Linked DNA regions of Kluyveromyces lactis. The protein of the gene in region 1 purifies or fractionates together with the protein of each later gene. This does not show direct contact. Links are inferred from orthologs where the notes say so. Each region holds a gene or a part of one and is shown on either strand. Other genes may lie near its edges.

Region 1 (2,688 bases):
TCATGCCGGTTTTTTTATCGTACTTGTCGTTTTGATAGAAAAGAAAAACATAAGACACTCGAAGTGATTTTTATTCCTTCGAGCGTGGACTTAGTCAGCCCGTAGTGGAAGTACATTTCCTACTGTTCACGCTGTAGCTCAACAAACGGCACAGTGTATTTACTATCTTCCTAGAATCACGTGAGCGAAGGGAAAAATATAACTTAAGAGTAGCATAATTCCAGTGCTGTCAGCGGTATCGCTCAGTGATTTGGAATTTAAATCGAGGAAAACGTCCTACAATTTAGGGACAGGCATGCGTTCACGGTTAAATCGTTCGAAATTTTTTCCGTCGTTCGAGCCGCCCCACTGGGATCTCTGTTGTAAGAAAAGACCGCCGATTTATGATAAAGGGCGGACTTTGCTCTGAGGTTCCTTCTCTGCCTTTTCAGCATTCTTCCTCTCGAGGGACCTTTTCCCATTTCTTTTTTTTCTTACTTGTTCTGTGTTGAGAACTTGAACCACAGTTGATCTCACGGTTGTTTCGAAACAGAGAGCGGCATAGATGGTACAAAGAATGGAGCCACGGCTGGTTTCGAAGGAAACACTGCTGTGGGCACACATTTCGAGACTCCTAAAGCCACCTCGAAAGCCAGTGTCAAAAGCCAAGATATAACGATTTCATGAGCTGATACGGAAAACTTTACTGCCGGTTAGAAGTGCTAGTTCCTGCAGCAGGTAGATAGGGGAAACTGCTTGAAAATTCGTCTCTGTATATACGATTCACATATAGACAGTCACAATTTGACTATTTGACTATTTAACTTGCTTCCCATTCTTTGGGTAACTTTCCGAAATGTTCCCATTTAATTCTGAAGAATCTTGCTGGGGTACACCATGCTGCAGCAACAGATCATCCCAGGTAAACGCCAACTTGCCAGTACCCTATTCGAGGTCAGCTTGTAATTGTAATTGTAATTGATCATCTACTTGTCTGAGTGTCAAACAGAAGATCTTGGTTTCACAGTTCACGTGACTGGAAGTGTTTCTTTTCGTTACAGAAAATTTTTTTGGCGAGGAAAAAAAAGTTCAGTGCGATGAGATGCGATGAGATGAAATTAAAGATTATGAATAAAGCTTTCAATGAGAGATGACCTTGGCTAATCTGAAGTATTAGGAGCATATAAGTTGTATTATATAGAGCTGGTTTGTGCTGAGATTAATAAACAGGGCAGTAATATAGAAGCAACAAATGTCACAACCATTGAACTCGAACCCAGAGGTTCTTTTAAGAAAGAGAAGAAATGCTGATCGTACTAGGTTGGAGAAGCAGGAGCTTGCCAAGAAGAGAAAGGAGCAAGAAGAGAAACAGAAACGTAGTAAGAAGAACAGATTTGTTAGAGCTGAGACGATAGTCGCCACAACTTTGGCTACTGAGAGAGAAAAGACCAGAATCAGAAGAGTCAGAGACTTAGAAAACCAAAAGGTCAAGAACGATTTGTCACATATCCCATCCGATAGGGATTTTATCTTGCGTATCTCTGAAAGAGAAGCCGGTAGTAAGGCTACATCCGAATCTGAGCTTCAAGATGTTGATGAGGAAGATGAAGAGGACGATGGGTTAATCAGGGAAAAAATCGTATACGATGGTGAGCCAAGCTTATTATTTGTTATAAGAGTGAAAGGACCCACAGCTGTGAAGATCCCAGCAAAGGCTTACAAAGTGTTATCTCTTTTGAGACTTGTTGAGTTGAACACTGGTGTTTTCATCAAACTTACCAAGGACGTGTACCCATTGTTGAAACTTGTATCACCATATATTGTTATCGGACAACCTTCACTTGCATCTATCCGTTCTTTAATCCAAAAGAGATCTAGAATAATGTGGCAAAGGCCAGAAGATAAAGAACCAAAAGAGATAATCTTGAATGACAACAATATCGTTGAAGAGAAATTAGGTGATGAAGGTGTCATTTGTATCGAGGATATCATCCATGAGATTTCGACGTTGGGCGAAAATTTCTCGAAATGTACTTTCTTCCTATTACCATTCAAATTGAACAGAGAAGTCAGTGGATTCGGTGCCATCTCCCGTTTGAATAAACTGAAAATGCGCGAACAAAACAAGAAGACTCGTCAAATTTCAAACGCTGCCACGGCTCCAGTTATCCAAGTAGATATCGACTCAATGATTTCCAAGTTGAATTGATTAACTATAAAAGGAAAATATCTGTACAATAGACATCGGGCTCCCATTGGCCCTACCCACATATGTAGAAATACATTACTCTATTCACTACTGCATTTAGTTATGTTTAACATTTGATATAGCAGACGCTACCGCCAGGCACAATATATTCCCCTTCCCTCTTGCCATTCGCTGTACTTGTGGTGGATTCCAATTCAGCGCAGTCACGTGCTAGTAATCACCGCATTTTTTTCTTTTCCTTTCAGGCTAAAACCGGTTCCGGGCCTGATCCCTGCACTCATTTTCTAACGGAAAACCTTCAGAAGCATAACTACCCATTCCAGTTTAGAGTCATGACAGGTTCAACATCAGATGCTTCATATACTTTTATATATTGAATTATATAAATATATCTATGTACTCTAAGTAAGTACATCTGCTTTAACGCATTCCTACATTTGCTTCGATTTATTTTTATTGTTGATACCTATTTGAAGAAGTAAAAAGTATCCCACACTACA
Region 2 (4,004 bases), on another chromosome or scaffold:
GTGTCAAGAAATCCAATTTTGACTCAAGTGCTCGGAGCGCAGGAACTATCGTCTAAAGAAGTCCTTTATTATTTGAAGAAGCTTTCTGAACGCAGAAAAGCTGAATTCAGTCGTATAAAAGCTACGCATGGAATCGATGGAGAAGACTTACACAAAACTGAGAAAGACAAGAAACGTTCCCTGGATGAAATTGATGGATATAGTCTTGAAAAGGATCCATATAGACCAAGAAATTTACATTTATTACCCACCACAGCTTCTCTGCTTTCAAAAGTCAGCGATCATCCTGAAAATTTGGATGATGTTGATGATGCAGAATTGGATTCTCACTTGTTAGATGAAGAAGCTTCCAAATTGAAAGAACGTATTTGGATTGATATCAACGGTGATTACTTGATTGAACAAGAATCAAAAAGACTCAAACAGGAAGCAGATTTGGCCAGTGGGAATACTTCGCTACGAAAAAAACGCAGCAAACGTACTAATAGAAACCAATCCAGTGCAAGCATCGTCAAAGTTCAAGTCGACGGACTACCGCTTGATGTTTCCGTGGATGACGCTGATGCTGTAGATGTTGTCGCAGCTGGAGGTGTCAAGAATCTATTACAAAAGACGACTTTCTCAAAGAAGATCAATTACGATGCTATTAACGGTCTCTTTGGACAAAAATAGTTTCTACGTCGTCACTGTTTCTCTTCTCTTGTACGATATCCATCAGATCAAACTCAAGAAAATTATATGAATACCAACTGCTATTTACATATCGTTACTTGATACAGATGTCTGTTTTTGCTCTTTTTTATTTTAATATTTTACACTAAATTGGTGTATCAATTTCATTTCGATTATATTTTTGGAACTATATTTAAACGGCGTACATAATTTATAAACATTGCAAACAAATATTCGTTTGGTGTGGACTATTATTCATTTATGGAACACAATAATAAGCTACCATCAGTATACCATTTTGCCTATTCAGATATTAAAGAGCCTTAAACCCACTTTTTGCCTCTGGTTTCTTCTTTCCGTACCGTGAGTGAAAAGAAATTTTTTAGAAGGAAGAAAATTTTGAGATGAGATGCGATGAGATAGAACCTATGTATGAACAAAGTATATCACTCCGAGACAACTAAAGTTGCCTAACACTATTCGAACTTGTGCAAATCAACTAAGTATTTCCGAACAGTGAAAAGGAATCACATAATCAAATAAGAAACAAATATGGTTAGGAGATCTCGTGCTGCTATTCTACCGACAAACATTATTCTCTTGCAGAACCTTGTTAAGCGTGATCCTGAATCCTATCGTGAAGAGTTTCTACAGCAATATGCTCACTACCAATCATTAAGAGACATTTTCATGTTAAATTCGGTCAACAACGAGAGCACTGATGAAAGTGCAATGGCTGAGTTTATGGGAGCAATTGGATTTGTATCTCAAGTTTGTTCCTGTTATCCTCGTGAAACGGCAAACTTCCCAAACGAATTGAAACAGTTAGTATTAGATCACCACAAATCGCTTCCGTTTGACGTGAAAGAAAAGATTATCACCAGTCTAACTATGTTGAGAAATAAGAACGTTATCAGCCCTGAGACTTTGATTCAAACTATGTTCCCATTGCTTATTGCATACTCTTCCCCTAGTAATTCGATGGTCCAGAATTCTCACGCCAAAGAGCTAAGAACTTTAATCTACAACACTCTAGTACAGTTGATGAAATCTTGTAACACCAGTGGTAAGAACCAAAAATTAAACAAATCTACCCATGCGTTGTGTTTCAATTTGTTGGAACAGCCAGATTCTCAAGGTATATGGGCATCGAAATTGACAAGAGAGTTATGGAGAAGAGGTATCTGGGACGATTCAAGATCGGTTGAAATTATGACCCATGCTGCACTACATAACGATGTTAAAATTGCATACAGTGGTGTCTTGTTCTTTTTGGATGCTGATAAAGAGCGTGAAGAAGCGTTTGAAGAAAACGACGATGAGGATGAAATCGATACTACCGCTTTGAAGCACAAGCTCCAGATCAACAAGAAATCTAGTAAAAGAGGTAAGAAGCTAGAGCAAGCACTTAAGGTCGTAAAGAAGAAATCTGCTAAAGGTGTTCAACAGAATAATTTCTTAAATTTCAGTGCCATCCATCTATTACGTGATCCACAAGGGTTTGCCGAGAAATTGTTTGAAAGACATCTAAGTGGTAAGAATTCGAACAAATTTGATTTCGAACAAAAGACTGCCATCATGCAATTATTATCCCGTTTAACAGGTACACACAAGTTAATGGTTCTTGGACTATATTCATACTTCTTAAAATACCTGACGCCAAAGCAAAGGGACGTTACCAAGATTCTATCTGCTGCAGCCCAATCCTGTCATGATCTTGTTCCTCCAGAGACCATTGAAGTGATGGTGAGGAAGATAGCCAACGAGTTTGTTAGCGACGGTGTTTCAAATGAGGTTGCCACTGTGGGTTTGAATACAGTCAGAGAAATCTTGACTCGTGCCCCATTAGCTATCGATGAGACTTTACTACAAGATTTAACCGAATATAAGGGCTCCAAGGCCAAGAGTGTCGCCATTGCTGCTAAGGGTTTGATTGCATTATACAGAGAAGTTGCTCCGGAGATGTTAAAGAAGAAAGATCGTGGTAAGACCGCTTCTATGGGACTACAGGACGACAAACGCAATGGCAGGGAATCCAAACGTGTCAAGTTTGGTGTCGAGACTACTAATGTACAAGGTATAGATGGTATTGAGTTACTAGCGAAGTGGAAGCGTGAGAACGGAAACGAGGAGGATGATGATGATGAGGCTGCATGGGATTTGAACAACCGGGATGAATTATCAGATGCTTCGGATGTAGAAGGTGAGTGGGTGACGATAGAAAGCGATAAAGAGTACGAAGTTGACATGGACTCTGACGATGAGGAAAGCAAGAACAAAACAGGTCATAAGGGTAAGAAACGTTCCCACGATGAAGTCGAACCGGAAGCTGGTGAAGATAGTGATTTAGAATTATCCGGTGATGAAGAAGAACCAAAGGTGGGAGAAGAGCAGAAGGAAGAAAGTGAATCCGCTGACCCAGAAGAAGCTTTCCGTGAATTAGCATCCAGTCGTATCTTAACACCAGCCGATTTCGCTAAACTTCAAGAACTACGTACTGAAAAGGGTGTTACTAAACTTATGGGGATCAACAACGAAGAAACTATTGAGCATTACAAGCTTATGGGTCCAGCCAAGCACAAGAAACAGAACAAAGAGGAAAGAATGGCATCTATTATGGAAGGTCGTGAAGACCGTGAAAAATACGGAAGTAAGCGTGGTAAGCGTGACAGTTCAATGAGATCAACTACAAATAAAGAGAAATCTAGAAAGAAGAACTTTGTGATGATGATCCATAAGAGATCTGTGAAGGGTAAGCAAAAAATGTCGCTTCGTGACAAACAAAAGGTCTTGCGTGCTCATATCACGAAGCAAAAGAAGAAAGGTAATTAAACTAGATGGCATGGCAAAAGTAGTTATATTAATTATAGGCACTTGTAGACACAGCATATAAAAGATAGAAAAAAAAGACACGTCAGTGTCACGTGACCAACTCATTTTCTCCATTTAGCCCAGTTTTGAAGTTGTCCTTTCAGCCAATGTGATATCACCATCCGAGACCACTTGTCTGCTGCTCATATCCCAGGTCAAAAAGGACTATTAACACGGCTTAACGGTGTGCCAACGGTTTTGGACCGAGAAGGACATGATCTAACAGGGAAAAAAAAAACTCGAAAAGAAAAAGAGACCACTACAGGATGTTTGAGGAACTTCAGCTTGAATGGAAATCTCGACACTATCAGCTATATTCATGCGTCGGCATTAAGCCTTCTTCGCATCACGGGCTGTGGCCCGTGATGCTGGCCCGCACTAAATGGGGCCGGGAAGGCATATGTTCCAACGCGTTACTCTCGAGGGAACGATTTACTACTGCCTAGACTAGCTCGTCTCAG
Region 3 (3,450 bases), on another chromosome or scaffold:
AGCGTAGCTTTATCGGAAGTGGTAGCTTTGGTACTGTATATTCCGCTGTTAACCTAGATACTGGTGATATTTTAGCGGTAAAAGAGATCAAAATCCAAGATGCTAAATCCATGAAGCAAATTTTCCCATCTCTCAAAGAAGAAATGCGCGTCATGGAGATCTTAAATCACCCGAATATTGTTCAGTACTATGGTGTGGAAGTTCACAGAGACAAGGTTAATATCTTTATGGAATTCTGCGAGGGTTCCTCCTTAGCCAGTTTACTCGAACATGGCCGGATTGAAGATGAAATGGTAACTCAAGTTTACACACTACAATTACTTGAGGGATTGGCATGTTTGCACCAATCTGGAGTTGTGCACAGAGATATCAAACCGGAGAATATCTTATTGGATCGTAATGGCGTTATCAAATATGTAGATTTTGGTGCCGCAAAACTCATTGCAAAGAACGGATCAAAGAGGATATCACTGGATGCCAATAACAAATCTACAGGCGGGAAAGATATGATCGGAACACCGATGTATATGGCACCAGAAACGGTGACTGGTCAAGGACACGGAAAATTCGGATCCGATGATATATGGTCTTTAGGTTGTGTTGTACTGGAAATGGTGACCGGTAGACGTCCATGGGCTAACTTAGACAATGAATGGGCTATCATGTATCATGTTGCAGCTGGTCACCTTCCGCAATTCCCAACCAAGTCTGAAATTTCATCTGCGGGTAGAAAGTTCATAAGCAGATGCTTAATACAAGATGCCAATAAAAGAGCAACTGCAATGGAATTGTTACTTGATCCCTGGATTTCTCAAATACGTAACATTGCATTTGGTGGCAATGCAGAATCTTTTAATAATGAAACTCATAACTAGTTCTGATAGACATAAAAGTTTCCTCCCCATGACGATCATATGTAACAATTGTAACCATAGATTTTTTTTTTGTATAAGTATTGTATGTATATATAATAATAATAGGAACTTTTGTTTGACTTTTTTTTAAACAATGCCGGATCCGTATAGTATCAATGTAACATGCACTTTCCGTTATCTGTGAGTTGCTTGCCAGTAAGTAAATTGCAGTCTAGGAATTTTTTGTGCCTGATGCTCCCCATAAGGTATTCAGAGCATAGTTTCAACATAATAAAGATTTATATTACCCGGAAGTGGTGAACTAAAAGAAATTCTTAAGTTCAAGAAAATCTTTTGAGATGCCGATGAGATGAGATGAGATGAGCTTCAACTACCAAGTCGACTTCCCTAAAAAGGAGAAGGTTCTGGTGAACGATATTAGTATTCCAGCAATAATCACAGGTCTTTTCTCGAAAGAAGTTTTTAGGTAATTAAACGAGCCCAAAATAATTCTCTGAATTTGTTAGGCCAAGCAATCCAAACGAAACATGGCAACCTTACTCCCACCGCCTTCAAAGAAGCAAAGAAGAGAAGCTCAAGCTGAACGTGGAGTTGACCTTATTCCCAAAGACCTTCCAAATGTTCTCATTAAATTCCAAGCTTTTGACAGTGGTGAAACTGTTGGAGGTTCTCTAAGGGTTCCAGGTGGTATTTCGGAGCAGCAACTGGAGGAATTGTTGAATCAGTTAAATGGAGACTCGGCAGATCCTGTTCCATACACGTTTAGCTGTTTAGTTAGCAACAAAAAGAAGGATGCAGATGAGGAAATGGTAGATATTAGAGATAATCTATATCAATCCATTTTAAAACCAGGTTTGAAAACTACCGAAGATTTTTTGACTCTAGTGTATACCCCAAGAGCTATCTTCAAAGTAAAACCAGTAACTCGGTCGTCTTCTGCAATTGCTGGTCATGGCTCGACAATTTTGTGTTCTGCATTTGCTCCAAATACAAGCTCCAGGATGGTTACCGGTGCTGGTGACAATACTGCATGTATCTGGGATTGTGACACTCAAACGCGTATGTGCACGTTACAAGGCCATCACAACTGGGTCCTATGTTGTTCCTGGTCTCCAGATGGTGAATTAATCGCCACAGGTTCTATGGACAACACAATTAGATTATGGGAATCAAGCAAAGGTAAGCCTTATGGTGATGCTTTAAGAGGTCACTCGAAATGGATTACCTCCTTATCTTGGGAACCAATCCATCTTGTCAAACCTGGTGACAAACCGAGATTAGCAACTGCATCCAAGGATGGAACTATCAAAATCTGGGATACAACAAGAAGAGTTTGCCTTTTAACCTTATGTGGCCATACGTCTTCTGTTTCCTGTGTCAAGTGGGGTGGAAAAAATGTTCTATACAGTGGTTCTCACGATAAAACAATCAGATGCTGGGACATGAATTTGAACGGTAAATGTATCAATATCCTAAAATCACACGCCCATTGGGTTAATCATCTTTCACTTTCAACAGATTATGCATTAAGACTCGGTGCGTTCGATCACAAGGGCGAAACTCCTGCTTCACCTGAAGAAGCCCAACAGAAGGCTCTGAAAAATTACGAAAAAGTTGCTAAAAGAAAAGGTGACTTCGAAGAACTGATGGTAACTGCCAGTGACGATTTTACTATGTATCTGTGGAACCCCTTGAAGTCTACTAAACCTATTACCAGAATGACCGGCCACCAAAAGCTCGTCAACCACGTTGCATTTTCGCCAGATGGCCGTTACATTGTTTCTGCATCCTTTGACAACTCCATTAAATTATGGGATGGAAGGGATGGTAAATTCCTATCCACCTTTAGAGGACATGTAGCGAGTGTCTACCAAGTAGCTTGGTCAAGCGACTGTAGACTACTCGTTTCTTGTTCCAAAGATACCACTTTAAAAGTCTGGGATGTCAAAACTAGAAAACTGTCCGTCGATCTACCCGGTCATCAAGATGAAGTCTACACTGTAGATTGGTCTGTAGACGGTAAACGTGTATGTAGCGGTGGGAAAGATAAAATGGTCAGGATATGGACTCATTGAGTGGATCCACTGCATCTGAATAATTAGCATGATTAAATTATAGACTGCCTTATGTATGTTATAGCTTCTTTTACATTTATTATGAGGTGCACAGGTGTCCCTTCTTCTTACAAGCTGAAAATTTTGAAAAATTAAAGCTTCAAGCATAGTTGAAAAGATGAAGAACGATTCAGCCGGCATTTACCATAGGAAATCGATAAGTTATCTATATAGTAAGAAAGGTGTACACCGGGAAAACCTGCATAACCACACAACAGCCTACTAATAATACAACGGCTAGTTAATAATGCTTACAAGAGTTACAAGAAGTTTTGCGGCTATGAGCCCAAGATCATTTCGGATTTGTACTAGACTACAATCAACCCAAGCACAGCAACCACAACAACAGGAAAACTCAGAAATTGAGCTTTTAAATGAACTTAAATCAGAAATGGACAAATTGGGACCATTATCTGATGCCGAAAGTGCCGAACTCAGTGCTTTATTTGACAGTCAAAGTC
Region 4 (3,077 bases), on another chromosome or scaffold:
TGATGTCAGAGTATACATTTTCGACACGTGAGTGTTACCATGTTTTATTAAACTTTTTACCCATTCAGACAGGGATAACTGTATAATTGAAAGGTTCTCATCATTATCAGAAGATAAAAAATTAAATTCATCCAAGGCTTCAATTGAGTAGAACAGAAGGGACGGGGAAAACCTCAATATATTCAATTGAAATAAAATGTGAAAAAATCTCACACATACTGTAATAAGCAATAGCAATTAATTCGTGCAACTTGAAACCGTCTTCGCCAATGAAAGCTGGTGTCTTATGCAATGGGAAGTTGCTGGTGAATTCCTTATTTTCAGCAGCAGTAACATCAACAACGTTGACGTCTACCTTGAAGTACTTAGCCAAAGCTTTAGCCAAGATACTTCTTGGGGAAGGAGGCAGAACAAATAAAGTGCTTTGAGCCATTATGAAATGATATCCAACAAAAAGATGCTTCTGTATGGACGTCCTTATGACCTGAACTGAATATTGAAAATCAAACTTGAACACACACTGCACAAACAAATAATTGTGTTCTGAATCGAAGTAACAAGAATGGAAAAAATTTACTATTAATCGTACCCATAACATATTTATACAAAGTAAATGTGAGAAGTTTTGAAAAAAAAAACTGAAGAAAAAAAAAAACTTGGAAAAACATAAAAATTTTGAATAGTCATTTTTCCTTATACGGGCTATTTTAACTGTAGTGATCAAGTAAGTAATTGAAAGGCCTTTAGAGCTTCTTCTTTTCACGTAGCGGCTGGAACAAAAAGAAATTTGTTTTGGATTTTCAATTTTTGGCTTCGAGAGATGAGCCGTGGGTAATGATTGGGGGCAAGTATCATTGGCTATGAGGGCATTGTCAAATGGCTAGAAGAATGATGGTGTACATGTGGCAACAATAAAATGGTTGAAGTCTGTTACTGTACAGTACTTCTGTACATTGTATATACAGAAGTCATCTTCCGCTCGTTTTGACTAAGGTCACGTGACTTATTTAAAGTGTATTCTTTTTTTTTTGTAATTTTCCCTGTAGAAAAGAAACCTCAAAGATTCACCATACGTGATATTCTCAAAACCGTATATAGAAAATTTTCAGCTCATCGCACCGGACAGGTACAGAGACTTAACTTGTTCTTACAGCAATGTACTTATCAGTACTAAGATTCGTTTAGTAAGAAGGATATTATTTACACAGCTCAGTTGTACCAATCCACCCTGACATGAGCAATTCTCTTGAAGAACGGTTGAAATCGAATTCTAGCGCCTTTGAAGGGCTACTTTCGTTGATACCTGCGAAATATTACTACGATGACAAGACACAGGAACAATGGAATGCCAAGAAGAAGAGCAAAGGGCAATTGAAGGAGGATAAGAAATCGAAATTGGATCCTGAGCAGCAGGACGATGAATCCAGCTCTGCCCTCGAAGTTATGAAGAAGAAACAAGCTCAGGCGAAAGCTGTGGTTTTACCAGGCCAAAAGAAGATCCAACGTGAACTACTAGACGCAGAGTCTGAAACATCGTCCGAAGATGATGAAGACGAAGAGGACGAAGAAGAGGACGAGGAGGAGCAAACCGAGGAACAAGAATCTGACGAAGTACCGGAAATAAACATTTCTCAAACTTTGGGCGAATCTGAGAGTATAGCGGTGATCTTTGATGATGATGGAAACCCAGTAGATCAGAACAAACAGAAGCAAGAGAAAGAGCGTATACAGAAAAAACAGGAGGCCATCGAACGTACCAAAGATGACTCTTCTCAGAAGAAGAAGAAGATGGAAGAATTACGCTGTAAACTACAGGAGAAAATCAAAGCTTTAAAGGAGAAAAGAAAAGCCCCAGGAACCAAGGTGGAAGGTGCGCCAAGTTCAAGAGAAGCTATTCTTGCTCAAAGAAAACGTAGACAAGAGGCAAGGGCCACCAAGTTAGATTCTGAAAAAGCTGGTGATGTGTCTTCTGATGATAGCGCAGATTCTGATTCGGACTCGGATGCAGAAGATGCTCACGTTTCCAAGAAACATCGTCGCAATGGTGATGAAGAGATTTCAGCCAAAGATGTTATGTTCCAAAGTATTCAATTCAATGACGGTACAAAGGCTACATCTGATTTATCGCATGTAAGAAAGGGTGAAAGAAAAAAGGGACCTGCCAAAAAGGACGTTAAAGCTCATTTAAGACTGCTAGAGACAAAGAAACAATCATTAGAATCAAGAGATGAATTGGATCAAATTAAACTGAAAGAGAAGGAAAAATGGCAAAAAGCCATGTTGCAAGCAGAAGGTATCAGGCTTAAAGATGATGAGAAACTACTTCGCAAAGCTTTGAAGCGTAAAGAGGCTAAGAAGCGTAAGTCGACCGTCGAATGGCGTGAACGTAAACAAGTGGTAGAAAACACTGTTGCCGAAAGACAGAAGAGAAGAGAGGAAAATCTACAGATTAGAAAGGACAATAAAGGTAAGAAGAAGAGCAAACAACAGAAGATGAAGAGAAAATTCAAGGGAACTGCCCATTTGAAGAAAAGAGCAGGATTTGAAGGACGTATGAAAAGTGTCAAGAAGAAATGAGCCTTAATCAACTAATATTCTCCATCCAACAAATAAAAGCATAATATCATATTTCATCCTTTCAAGTTATAGATTAACCTTTTACTTTTACTTTTGCATCTCTATTTTTATATACTGACACCCAATGATATATAAAAATAAATATAATCAAACCCAGAATGTAATAATGCATAAAATCTCTATTACCATGTAGTCTTTAATAATGGATTTCAGAAGCCAATGTGCGGTTATTTCTTTTCATTCATTTTAAACTGCGTTCGAAAAATCATGAAAATGGTTCAGACGCAATAGTATAGATGAAATAAGGTATCTCGATGAGATGAGGTTGAAGAGGTTCACTCCAGCGAAACAAGGCAACGTTGCAGAAGAGAAAGATTCTATATTGCATAATGCTGAATGTGATAACCTGTCGAAGTCGATTAAGTTTACTCGTTACACCAAGACAACTTCGATATATACGAACCAAAAGTTTATCAAATACTATCTCCACTATAAAGAAA
Region 5 (3,267 bases), on another chromosome or scaffold:
CCATTCATCGAAATGGCGTGTTGAATATGGAGACAACGTGCTAAATAAAAACGATTCTGCTATCAATTTCTTAACGAAGAAGTTAAACAGAATTTCTTCATTTTATGAAATTAGGGATCGTCAATTTTATGAATTGTTGAATCATCTAGCTCAGAATGAATTGGATGCACTCAATCAAAAAGTCGGTGATTTCTCAAATTTGAAAGACATTCATTGGTCCTCTGATTTGATTACCGTACCAACAGCTAATAATGCATTCAAGAAATTCGGATGGATTAAACTCGGCAATAAGAAATTAGACGGTCTATGGAAAGTGCAATCAGGCTTAGATTTAGCGAGAAAGTATTCAGAAAACAATAGACAAGATCCCTCAGAACTATATGACACTATAATATCCGAATACAAGGATAAAACTGAAAAAACTGATGGTGATGAAACCACTACTGATAATGTCATAGTAAAACAATGGCAGAATCTAAGATCTTTGAGGCCGAAATACTTGTTTGAGTTTAATAAGGTCAGCGAAAAAACTACTCTGGCGGGGTTCGCCAATGAAGAACTCATTAGGAATGATATCGAATCTAAGAAAAGACGGCTAGCCGAAAGAATAGAGTCAAAAAAGAAGAAACATTCCGAACAAGTCGCCGAGGCTGAACAGTTTTTCAAAGACAAGGAACAAGAAAGGAAAGATCTACTTCAAGCGAAGATAAAAAGTCAAAGAGAAACTCTGGAAAATGGAAAAAATGATAAAACAACTTCGCCTGATGATCAAGATAATGATTCACTAAAGAGAAGACACGATAGTCCAGAGGCTGACGGGAATGAAGAAGAACAAGCTGTTTCGAAGAAACAAAAACTTGAGGAAGAAGTTGAAGAACCAGATGCTGACGCTGAGGCTCAAAAGGAAAAAGCGCTTGAATCTGAACCAACAGAGCTTAAAACAATAGAAAGTACAGAAACAGAAGTAGAGGTGCCGAAAGAACATGAAGGAAGCTCCCACACGGAGTAGGCTAACAATACAGTAATATTTTTTCAGACATCCGTTCAAATATATAGCATATAATTCGATTGAAGAATCATTTATTTTATCAATTACAGATGTTACTTATCAATATCACACGATTCTAGACTATTCCTCTCCTAATTGACATTCGACAGCTATCTCCTTGTCTATTATGAATCGATATCCTTTACTTTGCTTCGAAAGTGAATGTTACCCGGAGAATAATCATATTTCTTTTTTTTTATGTCAATTTTTCATTTAGACAATCCGATGCCAATAAGATGAAAAAAAAAAAAAGAGATGAGATGCGATGCGATGAGATGAATTCAAGTACACAATTAATACTCGGGGACTGGCGTATCGTTTTACTAATCCTTACCATACTATTCAGGACAATCCACCTCAAACAAACAGACAAAATAGTTAGTTATGGCGGGATCTAAGGACAGACCAGCTCAGTACAAACAATCTTCTCGTAAAGGTAAGAAGGCATGGAGAAAGAATATTGATATAAGCGATGTGGAACGCAAGCTCGAAGAGAAGCAGATCCTTGAGACTACTCATGGTAAGCAGAATTTGACAGAACTTAGCGATGATGCGCTTTTTGCGGTTGATACTGAGGGTGACCAAGTTTTAAAGCAGAAATTAGTGAAGAGGAAAGCAATCAAGAAAACTCTGAAGTCAACCGAGATTTTGGAGTCTATCAAGTCTAAATCCAAAGTGCCTGCTCTAACCAACCCAAAGACTGCTAACAAGAAACATGATAAGATCCAAGGGGTATCAAAGAAAGAACTGGACAGATTACTTGCTTTAGCTGGTAAAAAAATTGGTGAAAGTAAGTTGAAAGCAAGAGTTGCAAAAGAAGGTCTTGTGAAGTCAGGATCCCTTGATTTATGGGGCGAAGATGCTGGTAAGGAGGTTAAAGTACCATCTGGACTGAAGCTTAAGATAGCACCAGAAGAAGTAGAGAAACTTCCAAATGGATTCTTAAAACAGTCTACAACTAGTTGGTCCGTCGCAACTGTTAAGCCGGATTCCATTGCTCGCGTGCCAGAAATTGTCAAAGAAAGAGATGTCATTCCACATGCAGGAAAGTCATATAATCCAAGCAAAGAAGAATGGGAGGCTCTTATAAGTACTGAATATGAGGGTGAGCTGATAAATGAACAGCGCAGGATAGCTTTAGAACAATATAAACAACGAATTCAACACTTGATGGATACTATTGAAGATAAGGAGGAAGAGGACTCCGATTCAGAAGAAGAAAATGAATCAGAACTTGATGATAAAGACCTTTCAGAAGAGGGAGAAGAGACTAAGTTGTCTCTGAATCCAGCAACTAAGAATAAAAAGAAAACGAAATATCAGAGAAATAAACAAAGAAGACACGAAGAAAAAGTCAAACTTCAGCAAGAATTAAAGAAATTGAAGGAAAAGGTTCTCAAACTTGAAAAATTAGAGGAAATTCAGCAGGAAGTGGAATCCACCGTCCCAAATCCGGTCTCTACAGCCGGAAAAGTTAAAAAGAACAAGAAGCATAAGCTTGGTACTAAACATTCCGTCATGGAAGACAATTTAGAGGTGAAATTCTCAGATGAACTATCAGATTCATTAAGAAAATTAAGACCAGAAGGTAATCTGCTATATGACACTGTGAGAGCATTACAAAGTTCTGGTAGGGTAGAATCTCGTATCCCTATTAGAAAAGGTAGAAGATATAAACCAAGAGTCACTGAGAAATGGACTTACAAGGACTTCAAATAGATTAATTTGCTCTTTTCTTTCTATACATCATTCCGTACCATTTGTACAATAAAATACACAGACGTACCTGTGCTTTTCTTGCATAATTTATATAGAGCAAAATATTAATAGATTCATTAACTCTGTGATTATATTATATAATAGTAATGAATACAATATCCGACACTTTTACTACTGATTGAACTACACACCAAGAATAGTTCATTTGACTTGGCAGATTTAAATTTTCAAACCAATTTTTCACACCAATGTCAACTTTGCCTGTAGTTCATCTCTCTGCCTTTCCCATTCTTTTACCTTTGTTAGCTTTTGGTTTAGGGTTTCAATCTCATTTTCGATTGATAAAATAGCTTCGTCTGACCCTAATGCCTGTAGGCTCCAATCAGTTCCGTTAGTCAATTCCAATAGGTAGTCATGGTATTTTATCAAAGACGGGCGTTGAGAGATGGATATGAAGTTGAATCTGTATCTCTTCAACATGGTAAAAAGATGATCTTCCA
Region 6 (2,632 bases), on another chromosome or scaffold:
ACCATTGCCTTCTTCGTTTTCTACTATCCTATTGGTTTCTACAACAATGCGTCATATGCCGGTCAATTAAACGAAAGAGGTGTGTTATTCTGGTTATTCTCTGTTTCCTTCTACGTATTTATCAGTTCAATGGGTCAATTGTGTATTGCAGGTCTTCAGTATGCTGAGGCTGCAGGTAATATGGCATCATTAATGTTCACTATGTCCTTGAATTTCTGTGGTGTGTTTGGTGGTTCTGGTGTTTTGCCAGGGTTCTGGATTTTCATGTACCGTATTTCACCGCTAACTTACTTTATTGATGGTGTACTCTCAACTGGTCTTGCAAACAACCCTGTAACATGCGCAAACTATGAATACGTCAGCTTTAATCCAAGGAGTGGAGAAACCTGTGGTGAGTACATGGCGGACTATATTGACAAGAATGGTGGTTATCTACTAGATTCAAATGCTACGGAAGATTGTAATTTCTGTAAGATTTCTGAAACAAACGCATTTTTGACAAGTTTCCAATCTTCGTACCATAGAAGATGGAGAAATTTCGGTATTTTCATAGTCTTCATTGTGTTCAACTGGTGCGGTTGTGTTTTCCTATACTGGTTGGCTAGAGTTCCAAAGAAGAAGAACAGAGTGGCTGATGAGAGAGACCCAGATCATGGCAAGAAAATTGAAAATGTTCAAAAGGAAAAGGTTGAACCTCAATCCAATGAACAAGTTTAAGGATTTTTGCTTTTTGGCCAATTTTTACGTCGTTTACTTCTGTTTTTTTTTAACTATTAAACTTCATTTCTTATCGTGGGCTTGCGTTCTGCTTTAATATTTTGTTTATTCTGTATATATAGACCTGAATTGATATCTGGTTTCCCCATATATTACTATGGAAACCAAAAAAAGAAACTTCGATTGCATATAAAGTCCCAATATAACTCGATTGCAAGTACGAAAATTATTCAATTTTAGCATGGATCTCTGTTGTGGATGGTCGTTGAGGTAATCAAGATCCTTTGATGGGATATTCGTCAGCTCACCCTTCCTACAATGATTGCAGCGACGAATGTGAACTCTTTTCTTTTTATCGAAAATTAGCTTTCCAAAATTTTGAAAGTTTTTGTATTGATCAGATGAGATGAGATGAGATGAGATGAGGCTAACAAGATAGAAGTTGAATATAGTGGAACATAGCTAGTTATGTAGCTTATTCTAGGTCAAATAGCGAGGGTGCATAACAGCAAATCGGACGATACTATAATTTCAAAATGGCAGTGGATGAACTCAGAATAAAAAACAAGCAGAAGAGGCAAAAACTCTTTGCTGAGTTGAAGGATCAGCACAATAAGGAGCGTCATTCTATGAGGAGGACCAGAGCCAAGGAAGAACGTGAGAATCCGGAATTGAAGGAAAAAAGACTTGCTGAAAATGTTCCTGACACAATTGATAACCTCAGAGTTTACGATGAAACGATGGGTCAAGAAGTCGAAGGTGAAATGGATGATTTTATGAAATTTTTCAACGGTACCGAACCACCAAAGATTCTATTAACAACTAATGTAAACGCCAAAAAGAAGGCATATGAGTTCGCTAATATCCTGATCGAAGTTTTCCCTAATGTGACTTTCGTGAAGAGGAAATTTGGATACAAGCTGAAGGAAATCTCTGAATTCTGTAATAACAGGAACTATACAGATATCGTGATAATAAATGAAGATAAGAAGAAAGTAACGGGGCTTACATTTATTCATCTTCCAGAGGGGCCAACCTTTTATTTCAAAATAAGTTCTTTCGTCGAAGTCGAAAAGATCGTGGGCCATGGTAGACCAACTAGCCATATTCCAGAGTTAATCTTGAACAATTTCAACACCAGACTTGGTAAAACTGTGGGTAAACTATTCCAATCTATTTTCCCTAAGAACCCTGATTTCGAAGGTAGACAAGTGATAACGCTGCATAATCAAAGAGATTACATCTTCTTCCGCAGACACCGTTACGTTTTCAGGAACGAAGAGAAAGTAGGTCTTCAAGAACTTGGGCCCCAATTTACTATGAAACTCAAAAGACTACAAAGAGGTATCAAAGAGGAAACAGAATGGGAACACAAACCTTCAATGGACAAAGAAAAGAAGAAGTTCAATCTATGATATATTTGCATATATTTATATACAAATTCAAAGCCACCTGTGTACTAGTCCTGCACTTGGAGATTTATCAAAGATTTGACGGTATTATCATCACTACTCACGAGGCTGACGAAAAGTGGTGGCAAAATGAGAAATTCCTTGGCTTTAAAGAAAACAGGGCATTGAAACCTTTAAAGGATTTGGAATGTTTTGGGCTTAAATGAGTACAAGCCCACTGTTGAAAAGATTAATTGAAACAAACGGTTACTCTGTTGATCTGAAGAGGTGGTACACTAATTGCTCTTTAGGATTGTCATATTCTTGGTCATTATATTTGATCGATTGCAATCTAAGAAAAAGTATTTTTTCAGGCTGTTTGTTATTGTTGTTTTATTGGAAAGGAATTATTAACACGATCGATCACTGGGAAAGTAAACACTGACAGTAAAAACACTAAGCCACTTTACTCTTTTTTTTGTACACTGTTGCTATTACCTCTCTTTTGTTTTCAGCATCTTAAC
Region 7 (3,289 bases), on another chromosome or scaffold:
CGGGGCTCGAAACAGCGGAAAGAAATGAAGAAAGAGACTAACTGGTCTGACGAACAAATTGAAGGTTGGTCAAGAATGATTGAGAAGAGTCCAAAGAGGGCACAACTGCTAGAAGAAAAGTATATTTTCAAAGGGAACGTTCGGCAAGGCAAGAAGACGTTTACAAAAGCACGAGAGGATAAAGAAGGTTTTGATCATCATGTAGTTGACAGCACCGTAAATTCACCTAACACTAACAGTAATAATGATTCTGGCAGAGAGAAAACACCTACTACCAAAGAACCTCTTACCAAAGAACAACAAAAGAGAAAAAATGCTCGTAACGAGAAACTAAAATCAAGTCGTGCTAATCATAATAGAAAAGCGGGACACGATAAAAAGTTAGCTAAAAGTGGTGTTTTATGATGAACATTAGACCAGTATAGATACATTTACGAAAATTGAAGTCGATTATCCTGTATCTTCCTATTTATCTGTAGATATTATGAAATGCATTTACTTTAAATATCATTCTTCGAAACTTTCCTTTTCTTGGATTCTAATTTATTCCAAAGATCCTCATTTTCAGCATCTTCATCAGCTTCGACGATGCTTCTTTTGGCTTCCTTCTTCTTCTTCATTTTCAATTGCTTTTCAGTTAAAGGTAATTCCAAGTCATTGTCTTCTAAGAGTATAATATCAGAAACCTTACCGCCTGTGAATATCTTTGCCAGGAGCTTATAATCGGCTAAATCAAAGATACGAACATACCTGTCCAAACCACCTTGAAGTAAGTATTTATCGGTAACAGCAATGCAAGATGCAAAACCAGTAATGTCGCCCTTGGCAATCTTTCTCAACAAGCGTCCCTTGCCGTTGAATTGGTACACATCTTTTCTGGAGTCTGCTGCTAAGAATTCAAGCTCGTCAAAGTTAGAACTTTGAAAGTTACCCAGTGGGGATGTGTCGCCTATAATTTTGCAAGAATTCAATTGCTCACCTTTGGGTAGAAGAGTAATAGATTTCACAGGTCTACAATCTTCAGCGTTGGTGGAATACTTTCTTAATTGAGCATATTTCGTAATTGTAATGAAATTATAAACCCCGTTCTTTTCTGATTCTAAGAATCTCAAAGCAACATCCCATGCAGGAACTCTTAACCCAATGTTGTCAAAGGGAACATTTTTAGCAGCCCATATATCAGAAATTTCTTTGAAATCGGATGATAACTCGATCAACCTAACTAGATTTTCCTCTCCACCGTATGCCATAACGAACTTATCAGATTTATCTAAATCATAAAGTGTAACAAACTCTACAGGCGCCTTTATTTTATGAGAAGCTATCTTGGAGATCTTAGTTGAATGCAAATCAACTTCGATGATGGTCACATTTCCAGATTTCGTTGCTGCCAAGAAGATGGGGTTTTTAGCCGATTTCTTAATCAAATATAGTTCCACAAATTGATCCTCGATCTTACTTTTCTTCTTTGATTTCGAACTAAGTGTATCCAACACTGACTGGTCAAAAAGTCCCGATATTAGATCTTGAAGTTCAAATTCTGTCACATCATATTTCGGCTCATTTGTTTCATCAACATCCTTAGAAACCCTCTTACTTGACACAAGTTCTAAACTACCACTATGTCTTGCTAAGAGTAACAGAGAATCAGAAACATGATATATCTTATCAATTCTGTTGGACAAACCTTGGTTTAAATGAATGTCAATATGGAAAGGCTGTAGTGCAGTCTTAATTGAGGTGTTTGTGCCTCTGTTGAAAATAATTTCTTTCAATGAGCCACTATCATCACTCGCCAATAAAACTCTCATTGTTAGTTCACGTCCTGGTATTTCTAGACGGAGTCTCAACGGCAAGTACTCTTATATATATCGTACCTCATCGCCAGTGTTCTTATGCCAATGATGCGATGAGCTCTAAAATTTTTCAAAAGAAACTATCCGGGAATACAAAATCACGTGACTGATATCAAAAGGTAAAGATGGCAGGATGACGGTTAAACCCATGACAACCTTTCGCTCTCAATGTGAACCAGGCTTATGGATTATTTTTAGGTACATCAGGATCGTGTAAATTCCAGCACTGGTCAATGATGAAAATATACACCGTTTGTTAAAGGTATTAGTCTGTATAGGGGCATTCGTGCAAGTGAAGAAATATTAAGAAGTTGAAAATCGTTCATTATTACTCAGATAATCTATATGTGCATCCCACTTTAATAAGGGTAAAATGATTGTGCATTCTTCTGAATCTACGTTAATTAATCGAACAGTTCATTAGTCGAGAGTCTCCTAATGTCTGATATCGCTGCTCAATTCAAATTGGTCAAAGGATCTATTTATTCTCACTGTTTCAATCAGGACAGAAGCCTTTTGGCAATCACCTATGATACTGATTGTTACGTTTACAAAGTCTCTGCTGCAAAGCAACCTCAATTGGTAGCAGTACTACCAGATCACGACAAGACTGTTACTGCTGTTGATATTTCTGTTCACGGTCGTATTGTAACTTGTTCACAAGATCGTAATGCCATTGTGTGGGAGCCCTTATCTAATGGTACTTATAAGCCAACTTTAGTCTTATTGAGAATTAACAGGGCCGCAACCTGTGTTTCATGGGCTTCATCCGGTTACAAGTTTGCAGTCGGTTCTAGTGCTAGAATCATTGCTGTGTGCTACTACGAGCAGGAGAATGATTGGTGGGTTTCCAAGCACATCAAAAAACCTATCAAGTCCACTATCAATGCCTTGTCATGGCACTCAAATTGTGTCCTTTTGGCATGTGGTGGTACTGATGGTTACGCTCGTGTGTTTTCCGGTTTCATTAAGGGATTGGATACCAAGGAACAAGTTGCTGGCTCTCCATGGGGTGAGAAATTCCCATTTGGTTCTTTGGTTAGAGAATGGTACCAGGGTGCCTGGATCCACGATATCAAATGGAGATCTTCCATCGATAAGGTCGCATTTGTCACCCACGATGGTTCCTTGAATATCACTGATTACACTGACGATATTAAGAGTGTAGACAACCCAGAAGGTCTTCCATTCATCACCTTATGTTGGATCAATGATCATGAAATTTTAGCAGCTGGTTTCTCAAATCATCCTGTTTTGTACAGCGAAGGTTCAAGGGGTTGGGAAGTGTCCAAGATTTTGGATAGCCCAGTTAAGAGTGCTGGCAAATTGGTAGCATCAACTGGGGATGATGAAGAAGAAGGTGCCTTCGGTATGTCCGCATTGAGAAAGTTCAAGGAATTGGATTTGAAGGGTAAAGTTAGCCAGCAAGAAGA

The links.
Region 2: the proteins of RLP7 (region 1) and SDA1 purify together in Saccharomyces cerevisiae (affinity purification with mass spectrometry; 4 studies listed by BioGRID, with this or other methods). This does not show direct contact. The link is inferred for Kluyveromyces lactis from reciprocal best matches to the Saccharomyces cerevisiae genes RLP7 and SDA1.
Region 3: the proteins of RLP7 (region 1) and RSA4 purify together in Saccharomyces cerevisiae (affinity purification with mass spectrometry; 3 studies listed by BioGRID). This does not show direct contact. The link is inferred for Kluyveromyces lactis from reciprocal best matches to the Saccharomyces cerevisiae genes RLP7 and RSA4.
Region 4: the proteins of RLP7 (region 1) and RRP14 purify together in Saccharomyces cerevisiae (affinity purification with mass spectrometry; 3 studies listed by BioGRID). This does not show direct contact. The link is inferred for Kluyveromyces lactis from reciprocal best matches to the Saccharomyces cerevisiae genes RLP7 and RRP14.
Region 5: the proteins of RLP7 (region 1) and NOP53 purify together in Saccharomyces cerevisiae (affinity purification with mass spectrometry; 3 studies listed by BioGRID). This does not show direct contact. The link is inferred for Kluyveromyces lactis from reciprocal best matches to the Saccharomyces cerevisiae genes RLP7 and NOP53.
Region 6: the proteins of RLP7 (region 1) and RPF1 purify together in Saccharomyces cerevisiae (affinity purification with mass spectrometry; 4 studies listed by BioGRID, with this or other methods). This does not show direct contact. The link is inferred for Kluyveromyces lactis from reciprocal best matches to the Saccharomyces cerevisiae genes RLP7 and RPF1.
Region 7: the proteins of RLP7 (region 1) and NSA1 purify together in Saccharomyces cerevisiae (affinity purification with mass spectrometry; 4 studies listed by BioGRID). This does not show direct contact. The link is inferred for Kluyveromyces lactis from reciprocal best matches to the Saccharomyces cerevisiae genes RLP7 and NSA1.

What each region holds. Positions count from the first base shown.
Region 1 is NC_006040.1:418,204-420,891, forward strand, and holds RLP7 (Rlp7p), read left to right. Parts: upstream 1-1,231; coding exon 1,232-2,188; downstream 2,189-2,688. UniProt on the Saccharomyces cerevisiae protein: Involved in the biogenesis of the 60S ribosomal subunit. May act as a specificity factor that binds precursor rRNAs and tethers the enzymes that carry out the early 5' to 3' exonucleolytic reactions that generate the mature rRNAs.
Region 2 is NC_006037.1:498,873-502,876, forward strand, and holds SDA1 (Sda1p), read left to right. Parts: upstream 1-1,224; coding exon 1,225-3,504; downstream 3,505-4,004. Other genes in the region: transcription factor TFIIIB subunit BRF1, read left to right, coding at 1-672.
Region 3 is NC_006039.1:748,335-751,784, forward strand, and holds RSA4 (Rsa4p), read left to right. Parts: upstream 1-1,402; coding exon 1,403-2,950; downstream 2,951-3,450. Other genes in the region: mitogen-activated protein kinase kinase kinase SSK2, read left to right, coding at 1-875; IMG2 (mitochondrial 54S ribosomal protein mL49), read left to right, coding at 3,237-3,450. UniProt on the Saccharomyces cerevisiae protein: Involved in ribosome biogenesis. Required for processing and efficient intra-nuclear transport of pre-60S ribosomal subunits.
Region 4 is NC_006042.1:2,415,765-2,418,841, reverse strand, and holds RRP14 (ribosome biosynthesis protein RRP14), read left to right. Parts: upstream 1-1,233; coding exon 1,234-2,577; downstream 2,578-3,077. Other genes in the region: TEF4 (translation elongation factor EF1B gamma), read right to left, coding at 220-598; SOV1 (Sov1p), read left to right, coding at 2,967-3,077. UniProt on the Saccharomyces cerevisiae protein: Involved in ribosome biogenesis and cell polarity. Required for the synthesis of both 40S and 60S ribosomal subunits and may also play some direct role in correct positioning of the mitotic spindle during mitosis.
Region 5 is NC_006042.1:1,055,269-1,058,535, reverse strand, and holds NOP53 (Nop53p), read left to right. Parts: upstream 1-1,432; coding exon 1,433-2,767; downstream 2,768-3,267. Other genes in the region: HPR1 (Hpr1p), read left to right, coding at 1-1,009; ATP-binding cassette long-chain fatty acid transporter PXA1, read right to left, coding at 3,008-3,267. UniProt on the Saccharomyces cerevisiae protein: Late-acting factor in the nuclear maturation of 60S ribosomal subunits, which is required for normal acquisition of export competence. Required for the export of the large subunit.
Region 6 is NC_006042.1:2,012,237-2,014,868, reverse strand, and holds RPF1 (rRNA-binding ribosome biosynthesis protein RPF1), read left to right. Parts: upstream 1-1,253; coding exon 1,254-2,132; downstream 2,133-2,632. Other genes in the region: KLLA0_F21692g (pleiotropic drug resistance family ABC transporter), read left to right, coding at 1-717. UniProt on the Saccharomyces cerevisiae protein: Essential protein. Required for biogenesis of the 60S ribosomal subunit.
Region 7 is NC_006042.1:976,198-979,486, forward strand, and holds NSA1 (ribosome biosynthesis protein NSA1), read right to left. Parts: upstream 1,812-3,289; coding exon 501-1,811; downstream 1-500. Other genes in the region: CUE3 (Cue3p), read left to right, coding at 1-405; ARC40 (Arc40p), read left to right, coding at 2,295-3,289. UniProt on the Saccharomyces cerevisiae protein: Involved in the biogenesis of the 60S ribosomal subunit.